2 linked regions of the Sus scrofa genome follow. The protein of the gene in region 2 interacts with the protein of the main gene of each other region in a biochemical or structural test. Links are inferred from orthologs where the notes say so. Each region holds a gene or a part of one and is shown on either strand. Other genes may lie near its edges.

Region 1 (6,204 bases), on a different chromosome or scaffold from region 2:
TGAGCCACAGCTGTGACCTATGCTGCAGCTGCAACAATGCTGGATCTTTTAACCCACAGTGACCTGAGTTGATAGAGTCAGATTCTTAAGCCACTGTACCACAGTTGAGAACTCCTGGACATTTTTTAATTTGAGAGACTTATGCAAGTACATATATATGTATGTCAATAAGAACAAAGTTCCTTTAACTTAAGAGACATTATAATGGAATTTATTAATACCCTACAGAGTCAGAAAACATTTTACATTTACTCAGCAAAATATAAATGCTGTTATAAATTATGGACACAGACACATAGCTTACAGCTTCAGTTTTACAACCTCAATCTCAAGTTGAAAGTAAACAAAGAAACACAAAGACTCTGCAGTTCAGATCTCAAAATAATTGTTCTTCCTAGTGGGCACAAAATTCTTAATCAATTCGAGTTCATAAAGGACAAACAAAAATACTAAAAACCATACCTCCTCACACCAGTCAGCATGACCATCATTAATAACTCTATAAGTAACAAATTCTAGAGAGGATGTGGAGAAAAGGGAACCCTTCTATACTGTTGGTGGGAATGTAAATTGGCACAACCACTATGGAAAACAGTATGGAAATACCTCAGAAAACCAAATATAGAGGTACCATATGATCTGGCAATCCTACTCCTGGGCATATATCCAGACCAAACTATAATTTAAAAAGATACATGTACCCCTATGTTCATTGCAGCACTATTCACAATAGCCAAGACATGGAAACAACCTAAATGCCCATAGATAGATGAATATATTAACAAGATGTGGTACATATATACAATGGAATACTATTCGGCCATAAAAAGAACAAATCAATGCCATGTGCAGCAGCATGAATGCAACTAGAGATTCTCATACTAAGCAAAGTCAGAAAGAAAAAGACAAAACCATATGATTTAACTTATACATGGAATCTAAAATATGACACAAATGGGAGTTTCCATTGTGGCTCAGTGGGCTAGGAATTTGACTTGTATCCATGAGGATGCAGGTTCAATACCTGGCCTTGCTCAATGGGTTACAGATCTGGCATTGCTGTGAGCTGTGGTGTGGGTTGCAGACAAAGCTCAGATCTGGCATTGCTATGGCTGTGGCATAGGCTGGCAGCTGCAGCTCTAATTTGACCCCTCTCCTGGGAACTTCCATATGCCACAGGTGCAGCCCTAAAAAGCAATAAATAAATAAATAAATAAACAAAATATGGCACAAATGGGACTATCTACAAAACAGACTCACAGACATAGAGAACAGACTTGTGGTTGCCATGGGGGAGGGGGAGAGAGTGGGATGGATGGAGAGTTTGGAGTTAGTAGATGCAAGCTATTACATTTATAACAGATAAGCAAGGAGGACCTACTGTATAGCACAGGGAACTATATCCAGTCTCTTGGGACAGAACATAATGGAAGATAATACGAGAAAAAGAATGTATATATACATATGCCTGGGTCACTTTGCTGTACAGTAGAAACTGGCACAACATCTAAAATCAACTATACTTTAATATAAAAAAAGAAAAATACTAAAAACCTGGATTCTTTGTCATCTCATTTCTAAAAGAAATTAGATCTTCATCACCTAGCAGGTATCACCAAATGGTTAGGCCATAAAACCAAATTCCCAATCATTGCTATCCATGTGAAATAACTTAGCCATGCATCAATCAGAAACAAAAACAAAGTTTTAAAAATTCAGTAAAAAGTAAAAACAGACAGTAAACTTAGTTCTATAACCACTTTGGATTAACTGTAAGACAGTTAATATATTCCTGGGTTTAAACCACCCATGAAGTATGCTTTCTTGATCATAAAGTTTGGTTCTATTATATGAGTCCATTTGGGTGTCTCTGTAAAAACTTAAGATTTCCAAAATTAAAGTATAATTTTCAAAAACAGAAAGCCATGTTTCTTGTGCAAATATAAAATGAACATTTATCAGAGTTTTGTTAAATGAGGGAACACGAAGTTAAAACCAATTCAAAGAGTTTATGAGAAAGCAGACATATATTAATTTAAAAACACTGCAGAGTTAGATGCAAACTGGTTAATATCTTGCAGAATAAGTCACAACCTGTGGGGTTATCTGGCCCATCAGACAGAAATTATTTGCATTATCTGTCACACAAAAATCTACCAGTTAACCTCTGCCTTAGCAGAATTATAAAATAGCCTGGTCAGGAGTTCCCTTGTGGTACAGCAGAAACAAATATGACTGTTATCCATGAGGATGCAGTTCAATCCCTGGCCTCGCTCAGTGGATGGGGATCTGGGGTTGCCAGTGAGCTGTGGTGTTGATCCCAGACGCTGCTAGGATCTGGCATTGCTGTTGCTCCAGCTGACCCCCAGCCTAGGAACCTCCATATGCGTGGGTGCGGCCCCTAAAAAAAAAAAAGCCCAGTCAATAGAAAGTCAAAGCCAGAAAAGCTATGAAAGAAAACCTGGTAATCTCTTGCCAATTTTGGATGATTTTTCTCATAGGAGTAAGGTTGTGACTATTGCATGAGTATACCTATATTAAAAATTACTCATTTATCTGAAATTCATATTTAACTGTGAATCCAGTATTTATCTTTTAACCTTAGTAACAAGTTAACAAAAGCTTTATCAAGGCTGTACAGTTCTATTACCAACAACGTATCTCTTAAATCTGTGTATAGCTTCATATTCTTGCCTAGATAATAAATATTAAGTAGCATTTCGAATGCTCGTCTATTCTTCACATTTACCACTGGGAGGCGCCTGTAACTCACAGTCTACTGGATGCCGAATCGTAACGAGGCTATGAGAGTGTTTCAACTTCTTATCCGCTAGGGGGACAGTTCAGAAACCTCTCAGGTTTCACAACAAGGCTCTGCTCTCGTGCTTGCTAATAATCTGAGCGCACGCGCGCAACTGCTCCAAGGCCCGCTCGGACTGCGCAGGCGTTCCAGTGAGCGCGTGGAAGCCTTTGGTAGGACTCACCGGACGGAAAGGGAGGGGCTGGAGCCGCTGGGATAGCACACGCTCGGGGGGTGTAGGCTGCGCACTGCTGGGTCGCTGTCCGGGCCGCGCATCCAGGTATTTGATGCTCCGTGGAGATGCCTAGCCCGGGCGTTCAACACGAGGACGGCGCAGGGCTGGTCTCCACTGACAACTCGACCCCTCAAAAGGAAGATCTAAGCCGCAAGGTGAGTGTGGGGACGAGGTGACAAGGCCCCCAGGCGCGGGACAGGGTGCTATTCGTCCTCAGAGAAGATCCACTGTGGCCGTGTGGTCCGATTTCGGCTTTGCCGGACTGGGCTGCATTGACAGCTACAGTTAAAGGGAGATCGTGAAACTTGCCCCGAGATTAGTCCCAGATAGCAGTAGGGTGGAGGTTTAGTTGGGTGGTTTTGTTTTTTGGGTTTTTTAAACCCCAAATTTTTAAGTCATTTTAAAAGCCCTTATACAATAAAATTTACCTTTTTCCTTTTCTGTAAATCTAGCACATGTATAAATTTGTTTGACTACCACTATTGGGATACAGAACTGTTCCATTACCCCAAGAGACTCCCTTTATAGCCATGCTTTCCCCCACCTAGAAGCTCTGGCCGCAGCCTGATCTGCTGCCGATGACAGAACAGTTTTGTCCTTTAGGGAACATCATGTAGATGAAATCATAGCATATGTCATTCTAAGATTGGCTTCTCTCACACAGCATAATGTCTTTGAGATTTATGGTTGAGTTTTCTATATACTCTTTTTTTTTTTTTTTTTTGTCTTTTTGCCTTTTCTAGGGCCGCACAAGCGGCATATGGAGGTTCCCAGGCTAGGGGTCTAATTGGAGCTGTAGACACCGGCCTACACTACAGCCACAGCAATGGGATCCAAGCCTCCTCTGACTTACATCACAGCTCATGACAACACCAGATCCTTAACCCACTGAGCAAGGCCAGGGATCGAACCCACAACCTCATGGTTTCTAGTCGGATTCGTTAACCACTGCGCCACGACAGGAACTCCAGGTTTTCTACATACTGTTGAGCTTGGGGGCATGTTGAAGTTTGTTCCCAGGCCAGTGATCAAACCTGTGCTTCAGCAGCAACCCAGGCCACTCCAGTGATAACGCTGGATCTTTAACCTGCTGCACAAGGGAAGAAATACTGCCCACCCTAGAGCTGCTGCTGATATCCTGTGCCTCAGAAAATATCACCACCAACTATCCACCTGTCTGTGCCAGTAATCTGGGAGCCACCCCTTAAGTCCATTACAAAGTCCTATCAGGTTAACATTTAAGGCCCACTTCAAAGATGTCCCTTTATCACCATAGCTCACCACTTATACTGATGTGTGATATATCCCTGAGGTGTTTAAGGTCTGGCAAAGATCATACAGGATCTCCTTTTAGAGGCTTTAGTGATACTATGTAATCAGTCCTGTTCACAAAATAACTACCATTACTGATTGAACCTTCTCTTACTAATAAAAAGTGAGACCTAGTTCAACAGTGACAGCATCTGTGCTAGCTTTTGAGATACAGAGAGGAGTAAAGCAGAGAGGAAAAGTGATAGGTTGTACTGCCCCCCACCCCCAACCCCCCCGGTAGGGCATTTACTACTGCTTGCTTAGTCTGAATGTGTGGCCACACCATTTAGGACATAAGTCATGAAAAGCATTGGTATAGAGGGATGAGGTTGGGAGAAGTGACCCCACCCCACATTCCATTTGGTATTTTTCAAGAAAGTTAAAATACAACTTAAGTGAAATCATTGAAAAAAATGGTATTGCTTTTGGGTTTTGGTGCAATTATGTTTTTATTTCATATTGTCACTTTTAAATAAAAGGTATAAACCTTGTTTAGTAACTGTGGCTGTTCCCTGAATATGAATGCTGGTTGCCAATATCCTATCTGGGTCCAAGGGGCCATCTAACACCTGGCAAGTCTGATCACTCTTTCTTCCCCCAATTTTCCCACACTTGCACCACCACACACACTGTTGTTGAAAACAATCTATATATTCACCGACTGTCCATTTGGACAATCAGTACATTTTAGCCCCTTATCACATCTTTTTAATTTTAAAGGTCCCTCAGTGAGCATACTTTGCTAACTTCTGATTTAAGAAAATCTTCTTTATTTCAATAGATTAAAGAACAAAAAATTATTGTGGATGAACTTTCTAACCTAAAGAAGAACAGGGTAAGTTATTAGAATTATTCTGAACAGTATGCCAGAGGGTTTGATTATATCTCATTAGCTTATATAAAAGTTATAAGAACTATATATAAGATTTATGTCAAAATTTATAAGATTTCAGCATCTTTTTAGTTAAATTGCAAAAGTGAAAAGTGTATATGTATCATATATGGATGTCTATATATTAATCATAGTTGATGATATCTTTTCCCCATAATATGCAATTGACATTACCTTTGAACAAAGTGATACTAATTATTTTATCTTGGAGCTGTAATCACTAATAGTCTTTGTTTTATACTTGAATTTGGTGTTTTCTTTTGAAATGAACTTTATTTAAATATACTAAAAAGATAAGAAACTAGTCCTTTAAGTGAATGTAGATAATTAATTTTTTTTTAAAAAAGGATAAATGCTTCCTCTTCCCCTTCCCTGAGTTTTTTACAGAAAGCTTCCAAATCTTTTATTGTTGTTGTTTAACACCATTTCTATTAATGTATTTATAAACAATCAAGCTACTGCTTCATGTGTAGTTATACTTGCCAAAAATTATATTTTGAAGGTAAGGAAGAATGATTTGAACCCTTTAAAACATTTTAAAAATTATTTGGTAACTGACAGGTTAGACATTTCTGATATGGTCATTTGTGGAATATTAGAAGTTAGGGTACAATTCATACAAACTTTCTAGAGGGCAAGTTGGCAGAATGTACCAAAGTTTTAAAACTATGTAACACTTTGATACAGCAGTTCTATTGATAGGAATTGATACTTAGGAAAAAAAAAACTATGGGAGTGGAGTTCCCGTTGTGGCTCAGTGGTTAATGAATCCAATTAGGAACCATGGGGTTGCAGGTTCGATCCCTGGCCTTACTCAGTGGATTAAGGATTCAGTGTTGCCATGTGCTGTGGTGTGAGTCACAGACATGGCTCAGATCCCACGTTGCTATGGCTGTGGCGTAGGCCAGCGACAACAGCTCCGATTGGACCCCTAGCCTGGGAACCTCCATATGCCGTGGAAGCGGC
Region 2 (6,137 bases):
CCTGACCCACTGAGTAAGGCCAGGGAGCAAACCTACATCTTCATGGATACTAGTTGGGTTCATAACCCACAGAGCCACAGTGAGAACTCCTGACTCTGCCATTTATCCACTACATGAGCAGGGCAAGTTTTTAAATCTGTACCCCCATTCTTCCACCTGTGAAACAGGAGTGATGATAATAGCAAGTATCCCTAAGAACAACTGGGAGGATTAAGTTAATACCTGTAAAGCACTTAGAATAAGGGTTGTTATTTTAATTCCATTGGCAAAGCCATCTCTGGCTGACATGCATGCCTCAGGCCTGATGATATTGAATATTTGCCTTCGCTTCCTCTGATGCCACTTTCAGCAAGCAACCTACTCCTTCCCATGTAGGTTTGCTCACCCGGAAAAAATGTGCTTATCACAGAGATTCTGAGAAATTCCCATCCCAGAGCTTGCAATTTCTTACAGCAAATCGATAAATTACTTCTGGTTATGCCTGGGCCTCTAGCATCACTTGACCACAGAGACAAGACACAGGTGTAATGGGAATGGACGATTTCAGTCCAGGAGCAGATGTTTTGATTTCTAAATCATCGCCCTGGCATTCCGGTGCCTGTCTCCACCTCGGTGCTTTTGGGTTAGAACACAGACACTCAGGCTCTGATTTTCCTGCAGAGCGATGTGTGTGTGCAAGTCCTTAGTCTCTAAAGCAGAGGGCAGCCTCAGCTGGTTTTACCACCCAATACCGTGGTCCCACCCCTCATAGCTCCTTGACTGATCCTGGTACTGCTGTCCCTGGGTACCTTTACCTGAATGAATAAAGAGCTTCCGGAACACTGGTTAGAAATATAGGCAATAAGGATTCTGTAAGTAGAAGTATAAACCTAAGAGTTTCTCATGACCTACCTGTAGTGACTTATAAAAAAAAAAAAAAAGAAAGAAAGAAAAATCCAAATGTTTTCATTTCATTTCTGGCACCTGCCTGGAATACCAACCACCCAGGCTCTGGAGATTGGGAATTGCTCTGTGTTTTTAAACATTCACAATTAAAAATGTGAGTCATTTGAGAAGGGTTAGAGAACTTTCAATGATGCTGTTCATCAGCTCAGTGGCAATGTGTTCAATAAGATTTCTTTCCTCCTGACACCTTGCTGGGTTGCATTTACCTTTAGGAATTCTCTGATTTGTGAATTTGGGTTTGGTTTGGTTTCAAAGAAAGCACAGAAAGAAGTGGAAAGGAAGGTAGATGAGATGAATGAAACACTTCCAGAGCTCCCTGAGATGTGCATAGGGTGGAGGACCCCTGAGAGTTTCCAGGACCAGGAGGATTCTGGGAGATTCATCTAAGACATGTGTTGGCACTTCTGGATTGGCCTGGGAAGATAACCAATAATTTATAATATCGTTTCCCAGGAAAAAGCAGCTTGAGTTCCAAGTCACTCAGAAAGGAACTTCTGAGATAACAATCCATTGCAACCGAGTTCTTAAATAGTGGACTTTTTTCTATTGGACCCAGGGAAGACAGACAAAGTCCCAGGAAGCATTTGGCGTGGCATTGCTGGGGCGGGAGAGGATAGATCAGGAGCAGAGAGCATGTAATGTACTAGGGCAGGAAGAAAAATTGTCCCTGGGGTCTGGGGCCAACAGTGACCTGCTGAAAACCGCAGCCATAGAGACACCTCTTCAGAGACCTAGCAGAAAAGATGTCCTGCATTTAAGGAGAAGTTTCCCTGCACTGGGGTTATGCTGACATTTCATCCTGGGTTCCTGGGACAACCTTCCCTCTTGCCTTTCAGGGAACCCAGGCTGTCCGTCTGGTCTGAGCCCACCTGAGAGCCTCTGCGGAAAGGAGAGACAGGTAAGAACCGAAGCCAAGACTTGGCTTTTGGAAGCCAGAGTGAAGAGACTAGACCCAATTAGGGGTTAGGGCGGAGAGACCGTTCGACAGAGGGTGTGATAGGGGGCTTCAGAGCATCCAGTGAGCGGACCAAGGCAGGACACCCAGACCGTGCGGGGTGCGGAATAGGCGCCGAGGGAGAAGGGTGAGTGGACGAGAGACGGCTGGGGGCGGGGTGGAGGGAAGCTGTCCCTGCGGCGACGTGCGCTCAGAGCACGGAGGCGGGGAGGGTCTGAGAGGACGCGCGGCGTGTGACCGCCGAGGCTGCGGCGGCTGGAACAGGTGAGCGGCCGCCAGGCGCTGGGTCCCCGCCCTTCCCGGCGAGGGACTCCCCCTCCGAACCTCCCCCGCGCTTAGCTGTTTCGCGGCTTCCCTTGGGTTTGGGGTTTTGCAACTGGCAGCTGGCTGCCCCCCTCCACTGTTTCTGTCTCTCCTTCTTCTTTTAGGTAGCTCCACCCCGCCCGGGATCAGGCCAGGGGGAAGCTGCCGACTGCGGCTGCCAACTCGCGCCGGGCGCTCCAGCGAAGTCGCGGAGCGGAGTCCCGCGTCCCGCCTCCTCCCTGCCGGGCGCGCTCTCCTCGCTCCCCGAGCAACCCTTCCCCACTTTTCCCCCCTTTTGCAATCGCACGGCATTTTAAGAATGCCGGAAAGATGGCGGTAGCAGCGGCGGCGGCAGCGGCAGTGGCAGCGGGGCCGGCCGGCGGGGGAGGCGGCCGGGCGCAGCGGAGCGGGCTGCTGGAAGTTTTGGTGCGGGATCGCTGGCACAAAGTTCTGGTGAACTTGAGCGAAGACGCCCTGGTTCTGAGCTGCGAGGAAGGCGCTGCGGCGTACAACGGCATCGGGACCGCCACCAATGGCTCGTTCTGCAGGGGCGCCGGCCCCGGGCACCCAGGCGCAGGCGGCGCGCAGCCCCCGGACTCTCCCGCCGGGGTCCGCACCGCCTTCACCGACCTGCCGGAGCAGGTGCCCGAGTCCATCTCTAACCAGAAGCGCGGCGTGAAGGTGCTGAAGCAGGAGCTGGGCGGGCTGGGCATCAGCATCAAGGGGGGCAAGGAGAACAAGATGCCCATCCTCATCAGCAAGATCTTCAAGGGGCTGGCGGCGGACCAGACCCAAGCCCTGTACGTGGGCGACGCCATCCTGTCTGTGAACGGGGCCGACCTGCGGGACGCCACCCACGACGAGGCGGTGCAGGCGCTGAAGCGCGCTGGCAAGGAAGTGCTGCTGGAAGGTGAGGGGTTAACGCTGCGCGGGCTGCCTGGGATACGCACACCCCAACCGCCTCCTCCCGCCGCATCCTCACACCCACCCACGTGCCGCCACACCCCAGGGGACCGCCGGGCGCGGGTGGCGGAGTTTTGACAACTTTGACCCACTTGGGGGCCACTTGTCCCCACCTGCGAGGCGTTGACCCAGCAGAGGTGTAGGCAAAGTCTCGGTGAGCAGGGTTTCTTGAGTTCGTGTTCTGTGCAGAGCACGGGGTCGGAGGCGTAGTTCACGTAGTCTCAGTTTTACGGGAGCCAAATCTAAGCGTAGCTTAGGGGCCCCAAGTAGAACTGGCCATGAAGGGGGCACGTCCACGTTACAAAGCCAGCTCACTGAGTAATCGCAACTCTGACAGTTTTCTGCTTTGGCAGTTTTCTTCTCTGAAGCCTGGGCAGCCCAGCTAAAAGGGTCGAAGCTCAGAAGGGCCAGAGAGGGGTGGTAATGTGTGCGTGCTAAAACTCCCACCACCCTTCCCGACTGCCCTTTCAAACTGGAAACTGGCCTTCTGGCTGGGGCGTTGTGCCAACGGCTGGGGAGTGTGTTGCAGCTTTATGCAAAAGTTCACTTATGCTGCCAGGTGTTTGGCCGGTCAGTCTGGATTCCAGGTTGCTTTGGGCGGAGGGCTGGTGAGGTGGCTTTTCTGCCTGCATTTTCCCAGTGTTTCCCCCCCCCCTCAGAGTTGTGGTGTGGAAACAACTTTGCATTTGTAAACAGTTTTCCTTGCCTGCGAGGTGTCTAAGAAACTACTCTCTTAAGATCTGATGTGTCCATTCCCCTAGTTACCAAATGTGAATAGAATGAGTAGCACCTTTTGTACCCGTTGGCGGCTGTGTGGTGTTGTGTAGGGAGAAGGGCAGTAGGCGAGTAAGGGGTAATGCGTTCTCCTTTTCCACTACAGCTGCCATTTTCACTTGCTGTCTGCCTCTCTGCCCCCTTACCTAGCTTTGTACACACCTCTGGCAGCACTAACATCATGTAAATATCTATTTACTCAGCCTCCCGCCAATGTGGATTGAGTTGTCTGGGGGGTCCTATATTTGGTTATGGGTCATCTCCCTTGAACTCCATGACATATGTGCTGAGTCAAGGAAGAAATGAACCCATGGCCATTGAAACTGACTGTTTCAACTGAGACTTGTAAGTGGTGGTTGATCTAAACTGAGAACTTAAGTCAGTTTCCTGCTTAGATGCTGGTGTGTGAAACAGAAAGTTCAAAGTTGGGAAAGGGACTCTGTTCCCTGCAACAGCTGATGCAATTCTGTGGTATGTGATGGCCCACCTCCTGGCCTAGAATACAGAAGGGATTTTTTTTTTACCCCCTTATTTGTCTAGAGGATTTGTGATGTCTTCATATTTAATTGCCACCTGGGATCCAGAAAGTAGAAGGCTATTTGCTTTGGCTTGATGATTAACATAGTAAACAGAAAAAAGTTTTCTTGATTCAAGTGTGGGTTGGCCTGTGTGACAAGGGGCAGGTGGGATCTGAAGCAAGTGTAGTTTGGACTATACACAGCTAGACACCTGCTCAGCTTGCAATATTTACTGCAAAATATCAGGGGGCACAAAAGGCAGGTCATTTCTGTTTCAGGCACTGCCCCTCATTGTGTCCCTTCTTCTAAGTTTCAATTTAATGAATAATGACTTAGCAAAGGGGTTTAAAAAAATTAACCAACTCTCTCACCCCAAAAGAGGAAGAAAATGTGACTCCCTACAGTTGAAAGTAAACTTAGACAAAAGAAAAAAAATTTTTCAAGCAATCATCTGACGGTATTGGTGCAGCAACTGAAAAGTGAGTTTCATTAAAACCTCTTAAACATAACATCCTTACAATGGACTGTTATGTGTTCCAGGCAGGACCTCTAGGGGAAGACCTCTGGGTTTCCTAGATGTGAAGCTATGGGCTTGGGGCTGCAGTCTTATTTCCAGCCCAAGTCTTCAGAAATCAACTGCTATTAGGATAAACCAGTAGATCTCCCCTCCCCCCTTCAAAACAGTGTCTCTTCTTCTGAGAAGTATTGGTTCTAAATGCGCTGGGAGTGATCATATATCATCAAATCACCTGCAAATACCCTCTCTTTTGTAGGTTGGCCCAGTGCAGGGATTCCCAGCCCAAAGGGGCTTTTCAGAACCACAGGAAAGGCTTTTTAAAATCACACATCTATTTGGTCCTGCACTGATATGCCATCTTGATTCCAGAATTTCTACATAGGAAGGGCTTTGAAGATGCAATCCAGTTGGACGAGAGAATTAAAGGAGATGCATTAAAGATACATTTATAGGGCAAAGACGCTGTTTTTTTTTCCCTTAGATTGCTTTTTTTTAGTTGGTTTGTTATTTTAGGGGCGGATAGAGACTAGTTCAGTCCCTCAATTGCTAACAATACACCCCTCATTACGTGACATGCGCCCCCTAGTGGAGAATGACTGCTTCTAATAATGGAACATCTTGTGACGTGAAACCCTGCCCAGCAAATTTCTGTGCCTGCGTTCTAGTCTTAGATTTGGCCACAGAAGGATCTTAACCTCCCAGAGCCTCGATGTCTTCTGAAAAATAGGAATAAGGGAATGCTGACTTAAGGGGCTTTGGTATGGAAGAGCACTCTAAGAATTTAAGAAAAGGGGGGGGATTTATCAAATGCCTGCTGTGATGAGTTATTTTTACAATTCAAATGAAGATGGAATTGCCCCTCCTAAGGGACACACCTTTCCTCTTCTTTTACTAGAGTTTCTATGTTTAAATTTTTATTCTGCTTTTGGCGGGGGTATGTGTTATAGAACTGTAATCTTAGGAGACCATTGCTCTGGGAAAAGAGCATCCTAGCAACCACTAACATCTCTTGAACACTTGCTGTGTGCCAGGCTTTACTTACATTTGCTCGTGTTATGCTTCTAGTAACCCCGCAAGGCTAGTGCTTCTGTTCATTTTACTGATGAGAAACTAAAGTGTATAGACAGCAAGTTATTTGCTTGAAGTAGGGCAAATACGACTT

Evidence for each region.
Region 1: the proteins of SNTB1 (region 2) and ASNSD1 interact in a test that uses a peptide from one of them, tested with the Homo sapiens proteins (2 studies listed by IntAct, with this or other methods). The link is inferred for Sus scrofa from reciprocal best matches to the Homo sapiens genes SNTB1 and ASNSD1.

What each region holds. Positions count from the first base shown.
Region 1 is NC_010457.5:94,259,080-94,265,283, forward strand, and holds the start of ASNSD1 (asparagine synthetase domain-containing protein 1), read left to right. Parts: upstream 1-2,830; 5' UTR 2,831-3,190; intron 3,191-5,127; 5' UTR 5,128-5,181; intron 5,182-6,204.
Region 2 is NC_010446.5:18,286,727-18,292,863, forward strand, and holds the start of SNTB1 (beta-1-syntrophin), read left to right. Parts: upstream 1-2,029; 5' UTR 2,030-2,164; intron 2,165-2,328; 5' UTR 2,329-2,533; coding exon 2,534-3,113; intron 3,114-6,137. UniProt on the Homo sapiens protein: Adapter protein that binds to and probably organizes the subcellular localization of a variety of membrane proteins. May link various receptors to the actin cytoskeleton and the dystrophin glycoprotein complex.